Kluyveromyces lactis: one gene and its partner. The protein of the gene in region 2 interacts with the protein of the main gene of each other region in a pairwise test. Links are inferred from orthologs where the notes say so. Each region holds a gene or a part of one and is shown on either strand. Other genes may lie near its edges.

What was found. The genes of interacting proteins can lie anywhere in the genome.
Region 1: the proteins of JSN1 (region 2) and RBL2 interact in a two-hybrid assay, tested with the Saccharomyces cerevisiae proteins (2 studies listed by BioGRID). The link is inferred for Kluyveromyces lactis from reciprocal best matches to the Saccharomyces cerevisiae genes JSN1 and RBL2.

The regions. Positions count from the first base shown.
Region 1 is NC_006039.1:823,095-825,892, reverse strand, and holds RBL2 (Rbl2p), read left to right. Parts: upstream 1-1,595; coding exon 1,596-1,913; downstream 1,914-2,798. Other genes in the region: DSE3 (Dse3p), read left to right, coding at 1-1,226. UniProt on the Saccharomyces cerevisiae protein: Tubulin-folding protein; involved in the early step of the tubulin folding pathway.
Region 2 is NC_006041.1:540,263-544,965, reverse strand, and holds the start of JSN1 (Jsn1p), read right to left. Parts: upstream 2,975-4,703; coding exon 1-2,974. Other genes in the region: BUD4 (Bud4p), read left to right, coding at 4,457-4,703.

The DNA.
Region 1 (2,798 bases), on a different chromosome or scaffold from region 2:
CAAATATTCCAGATGCCTTCGAACAATTGAACCTGAGAGAAAGCGAGACAAAGAGCAACAAGTACGGTGCTTTGCAAAGTGGCGGAATGAAACTGTCTCGTAAGTTTGGGGGTACTTTAAGGCTAAAACAACGATTGAGTTCTGTACCAGAGCTGTTGCTGCGTGGTATTGAACAGCAAAAGGTAAACCCGACGAATTCGAAGACTATGGACCCTAAGGTTATAAAGAACTCGGGAGTCTCTTCAGGATCTATGAGACGGCTGATGCCTTCGGTAATGGAAAAAGATGAGATTGGGGACAGGTTATTACCAAAGACAGCAATTAGGTATCAAAATTTCAAAAGAAAGGCTTCTTCGCCATTATCTCAAGAACCAATTATCAATGTGCGCAAAGAGAATAGTTATATTGTGATGCCAGTTACCACTGAAATAATCGCACCATCTGCCGTGCTTGGTTCAGCAACTTCTACAAACCCCGAGGATTTTGATAACAGACCTTTCTTAAAATATCGTGAGCGTAATAGCAACAGTGATTTGCTGTTGGATGAAATTATGAATCTGTACACTAACAGAGATGTAAGTACGGAAGATTCGCCCATAATTAAGAAGAGAATTGATGATTTTATTGATACCATTCATGAATCTTTACAGAACCACAAGGCCTCAAGGGAAAAGGATAGGACGCACAAAGCTGTTGATATGTCACCAATAATAATAAATAAGAGCAGCCCAGGCTATGTTGATTGCCTGAAGCTACCAAATACACCAGAGTTAAGTCCTACTGAAAATTTGGAAGCCAACATCTCCACTCCAGAATACGTTACTTCAGGTGGGTCGGATCAAAGTAGTGGTGGTGAGGAGTTTTCAGATCTGGATTCCTTAGCTCTGGGGTTTAAGTCACCAGTTAGTGTAAGTGATGAATCTTTTTACAGTTGTTCAGAGGAAATTACGAAAGATATCAACAGTCCATCTACTACCTCAGAAACTTCCTTAATGAGCAGACACTTTTCCATAAGGAATGCTGGATTGACTGCCATTAATCCAAAAGTTCTAAATATCACTGATATGCTCGGATTTTCGGACGAAGAGGTTGAAGAAGTGACCGTCACAGACTCCCCTTCTGCTGAATACATAGATATTTCTGACAACTACTCCACAAAGATCGTTGACGATACTACAAGCAGCATTTATTCCCTTCAATCTGCTACAAGTAATCAGTTCGAATAACGAATTCGACGATTACGATTGAGTAACAAAGTATATAGCTATACCTAGCTGTATACACTGCATTTAAAACAATGAAAATACCCAATTATACGTACAAACCGTGATCGTAAGATATAACATCACTTATGTTTTTGTTCTACCTTGGGTCGTATTACCCTATCAAGCAGAGTGAATCTGCTTTCTATTTTTACCGTTTACGGTTTCTCAAAATCATAAATACTGAAATCCTAATGGAAAACAATAACTTCACGACAGTACTATGGTCGAAGTGCCTTCATCTTTTCTGAACCTTATTAACATTGTTTATGAGCAAGAATTGAACCGTGATACCAGATCTTGTTTGCCACAGGTTGATAAATTGCATACACAATGGCGCCTACACAACTAGAAATCAAAGAACGAGCACTCAAGAGATTATGCAAAGAGGAACATTTCTATCAAGAAGAGCTTGAACAACAGAAACTCCATGTCAAAAAATTACAATCAGATCCATCAGTAGATCCATATGATCTAAAGAAGCAAGTTGAAGTGCAACAAGATACAGAAAGGCTACTTCCAGAATTGTATAAAAAGATCAAACAATTTAGGGATGACCTCGATAAATACCTAAGCTCATACGAGGGTACAGAGGATTTAGAGTCTGCAAAGGCCGCGCTTGAAACTGCTGATGAACTTTTGAAGAACTAGGTATAGTAATTGTGTATACTGTATAGTTTTTAAGTCCTCCATGCATTGAAACTGTGGATATATTTGATATCGTTAGTAATATTAGTATGGTACTAATTGAAATATCATTTTGAGGCCCGAAAATGAATTTTAAAGTCGAAAAGAAGAGAATATCTTGAAGAGTTAGCGAAAGACCCAACTAACAAACACCACCAAGATGAAGCAACATCAAGCAGAAAAGAAACCTGTTAGTAATCAGTTATCAACGGGAGAGAGAATAGCAACTTGTTAAAGTCCATTTAATTATGTTCGAGCTTTGAGAATCAGCAAAAAAATGTTCCAACTGAGGTTCGAACTCAGGACCTTTGCCGTGTGAAGGCAACGTGATAGCCACTACACTATTAGAACAGATCTTAATTAAAAAAGAAAAAACTTGCATCACTCATGCGAGCTAGATTATTGTTGCGAACTAGTCATAACGCATGACCGGGTAACTACCAATGTAATAGGCGGTTAAGTATCAAGATGATACATAAGGATTGTTTCTAGTTGAAACATCATTAACCAATCTGAGTTATTATATAAGGAGGCATTAGATCCGGGTAAGGACAATCAACACAGTCATGCCAGATCGCCAGGTGCATCAACATACATTACTAGATATATAGCTAATAAACACTATGGATTTATCAGATACCAAAGATCTTAATTTAACAACACGTGACTGAAAATACCAGTATCACCAACAGAACTCGCATTTGTCCCATACACCACCGACGTTCAACTATTAACCAACCACCGGGAGGTTAGCGTAGTATCCAGTGTCGTGTGGGAAAGAAAAGCTATATTCGAAGTAAAATTTCCAGTATTGAAGTACTTCACGTGCTGAATGCACCCAACTTGTTT
Region 2 (4,703 bases):
CCTGAGAAGATTGGATGGGTTGCTGTTGAGATTGTGCGTTCGAGGAGGCTCTTGGTCTAGAAGATGCCGACCTGACACTGTTGACGGAAACAGTCCTCATATGTTGAGGATGGTCATTACCAAAAACATGGGAAATACTCATTCTTGGCTTGGTTTGAGCGGTAGATGGTTGATTGTTTATTGCATTCAAGCCCACTTCTTCCAAGAGTCTGCGATGCTGTGTGATATTAGATTCTGTGGTCAAAATGTAGCGAACTTGTTCGATAACATGGTGTCTAACGTCTCCTTCCAACATAGGAATAGACAAAACTTTATAAACAAAAGATGGTCCATAATTCGTGTCACTCAACAACTGATATAAGAGCTGAGGTGGTTTAGAAGATATTTCGTTATCCATAGGGCCGAAGATAGTATCTAATATAGCCCTTTTGGCAACTTCATCACCACGATAGTTCAAGATTTTCAAAATTGTTAATGAGGCAAGCTTATGACACCCTAATTCGAAAATATTTGGTAATAATGCCTCAGCAAGTATTGAGTGTCTTTTTGGCAAAGTACAAGTGTCTAAGAACCACGTAACCAAAAGGGCCCCATTGCTATTGGTGGCTAAATATTTCACAAAAAACACAATCATAGCACTAAGTAATAAGAGTTGTTCTTGAGTAATTATGTCATGGGCTTCCAAACAAGCTCTGACTGCACGAGCTCCATATCTATTTTGCACGATATTCCAGAAGTTGGAAACAATATTCTCGAAGATAAAGTTGTTCCAAGGGAAACCAAACTTCAACACACATTGAATAACGTAGTTACCAAATTGATCGTTGAACAATGGGGTACAATACTTATAGACTCCGTTTGCCACATACATTTTTTGTCTTGGGGTATCTGCGTTTGTAATCATCTTTTGACATGCCCAAGTACCATTCTTGTGTACACCCATCGATGTCAAATATACGCTTGTCTTTCTTAACATAATATCTTTAATGACGGAAGAGGCATGTTCAAATAGTTTCTGTACTATAGTATTACCTAAATAGTCCGAACTCAGTTCTGGTATTTCATCCAACATAGCTAGAACTAGCTGTTCAATTTCCAAATCTGACATTTGTCCAGAATCAATACTTTTTCGTAATTCACGAAGCCTTGGGGCATCGAACTCCCTTGTAGATAAGGGCTCAGGTAATGGACCGAAATCAGTAGTATCACTTGTTCCATTGTATTCAATTGCGTTTGCAATGATATGCTGGTACTGAGATGTATCATAATTGATACCAAACTTATTAATAGTATCGTTCAACAAAGTGATATTCTCCTTGAAAGATGGTGGTGGTAGTGGGAATGGACATTGTTCCTTCTCAGAATTACTTGAGGATGGATTGGTAGGTGACACAAATGCTTGAGAGCTCGATTGTGCGTGCGTATTGCCAGTAAAAGAAGGAACGGATACGTTACCTTGCTGTTGGAATTGGACTGCGCCTGAGAATAACTGTTCTTGTAGCAGGGACTGAGGGTTGATGGCAGTAGATTGATGGTTATTTTGCTGTTGAGTTTGCTGAGTCTGAGGTAGTTGTTGATGCATAGGTAAGACTTTTGCAAAGGAAACAGTACTTGGAGCACCGACTAGAGATACTTCTTTACCATTCAAAGCCTCTTTTGCCTTGATGGCAGCTTCCACAGAGGCAAATTCAACAATTGCCATATTAACGCCCCTCAAGGTCCGTGCTGAAATGACAGTTCCAAATTTCAAGCACAACGTTGCCAAACTTGTACTCGTCAAATTGACAGTATTGGACAAATGAGGCTGCTGCTGTTGCAATGAAAAGACATTAGAGATGGATATGGTATTAGTTGGTAATAAGTTTGAAATGTGGTTGATCGATGGTACTGATGGATCAGTTGTCACCCAATTGATCGATCTGGAATCCATGTCATCTTGAACAATTGGGTTGGTAGAAGCAGCAGTGGCTTTTAGTTGTGGATCCATAGAAGGTGGTATAATGAAAGTAGAAGCCCTAGATCTAGTATCCATCTGGTCGTAGGTTGGAGCGTCGGTATAGATACTGGACGCATTTGATTGAGACCTAGGTCTCGAATTCCAAACCCCTCCAATTTGTTGAGATTGGAACTGATGGGCACCAGCTGTTGTTGCTCCAGGTACACCCAAGTTATTAATGTTATTAGAACTTGTGTTCAGATCGAAATAGTTACCAGTTGCCTCATAAGGACTATACGTACCTGGTGCTAAATGGCTGTTGTTATTATTATTATTATTATTGACATTAGTTGGATTAGTAGTTGTTTGAATGCCAGGAGGAGACATTGGATTCACACTCATATCGTTAGGGAACCAAACATTGCCGACATTTGGGACCAACCCGTTGACGTTAGAAGGGCCAGTAATTTGAGATGAAACGGTATTGTTCCTAGTTCTGGAAATGGTATTTGATGCAGTTGGTTGAAGCGGGACGCTGTTTGTGGCAAAAGTGAACGAATCACCGGAAAGCCTTGGTTGTGATGGGACCAAAAGACTTGAACTATCCGGAAGATGAATAGCTTGATTGTAATCTACGTCAAGTGGCGGGGTGATATGTCCAGGCACTGACAAATTAATCTGAGCTATAGAACCCGACTTCGAAGTCTGTTCACTGGTATTTGCAGTCGCATCATCCGAGCTTAACTCACCAGAATGGTTACCTTCTCCCACGGCACTACTACCCTTTGAACCCTTCTTATTATGATGCAATTTCGCACTGATACTAGGTAAAAGATTCGATAGCGTGTTGGAGAATTTCCCTGCCTTGGATCTATAAGAACCTAGCTTCTGTGGCTGGATTGGTAGCTGGTCTATATTATTGCCACCACTTAAGGTGAAATCATCTTCGTATATGGGAATTGTCACTCCTGGATCGATAACTTCCGGAATGTTGGACAATCCTGACATAGAATCGCCGGAAGCTTTCCTCTTCTCCATAACGTGAATTGGATATTTGCGAGAAGCCGGGAAAAAAACCTATTTGCTATTTTTGACCTGTTCCTTGGAAAGTTAGCTTTAGCTCTGATTGATAAGTTTTATATCTCGGTTTTCTAAACACACTAGAGTCGGGTCAATGAAAGTAAGAGCCAATTATTAGATAAAAGTATATCTTTGTCTTCTGAATCGACTACACTAGAATCTCACAGTGAATATACCCTTTTGACTAACTCGGTGAGTGACTGGTTTGGGTTTTTTTAGCAAAACAACTCAATTCTTCTCTAAAGTTTAAATTGGTTCAAATCAAATCAAATCAGCTCTCAATATTTAAAAATGCCTTCTTTATATTTCAATATAGTATGACAATGATGAAATATTAACAAAGTTAGAAAAAACACTAGAACAAATATACTACCATAGCCAGGTAGAATAAAAGGAAGATGAATGAAAAGGGGATCGGATTTTGAAATTTTCTCGATTATTGGAAAACGCCGAACAGAATAAAATAAAGGAAATAGAAGAACGCCGAATGACAGCAAGGCAGTAAGCTAGAAAATCCTGTCAGTTAGGATATTGCTAATGTACTGGCCACAGTACACTGTTTTTTTTATATATAGTACATATGTTTGAAAACCCAGGAACTTTTCAGTATTAACGACGCAGCACAAATTTAGCGCGCATTATGCCCCTATTATGGTGATCTTCAGCTCTTCTCGTATATAGAGAAAAAATGATGATTTACCAGGACAATAAATGATCCAATTCGAATCACACTCTGAGTATTTAGAATTAGAGCCAGTGAAAATAATACGCAAGTATGCCTCTGCGAAGAAGCTTGGTGATTGAAGCTCAAGGTTTATATTTCCTTGGTACTTGTCTTTGCACGCCCTTTCTTTGATTATCTCTGCCAGCGAATGGAAAAGTAATTAATTGTCAGGAACTATGATTATCCGGGTAAGAGCTCGGCACGTGAGTTTCCTCGGATATGAGGCGGAGGTCGGTGGCTGGAGAAAAGAATAAAATATTAATAGAATGAATTTACTTACCCGGAATTACTGCTAGTTGAAAATTTGAAATCACGTGAATACTTATGTAATTATGATCTCGTTTTCCTTTGCCAATTCTGTGTTTTTTTTGGTTTTTCCTCTAATTTGATGTTTACGTATTTCCTAATTCAGATATTGTCAACAAACACTAGGTGATTGACAGGGAAATTTAACATACCCCATCAACAATGGTTTCCATTGTTTACTTGTTTGCCCATTGAATATGTTCATCAACTATAATATATTGTTGTATTTTGTAGGGTTTACATCTTTCATTTCTTTGTTTATACTAGATCTCATTTTTTTTTTGAAGGGAATTGTTTTAACGATTAAATCAGTGATCTTAACTCTCATCACATCTTTGAAGTGGTAATATTCCATTTTATTCGTCGTCAATTTAAGTCCCTTAGTCGAATATACCTGAGCATCTTGGGCAATGCAAATGGAAGACAAAGGCGAGGCACTTAATCCTGATGCAATGTATTCTCTTTTGAAGGAGATTGACCAAGAGATTTCTCACACCGACAATATCAGCATTGATCAACTCCCAGAAGAGGATACCTTGGACAATGAAAAGAAAATTGACGCCAGTGAGAATGTCATTGAAAATACAGAGGAGGAGGCTCTCCAGTTGGGTGACGAGAGTGCAAATACAACTACCGAAATTAAAGAAACATCTTGCA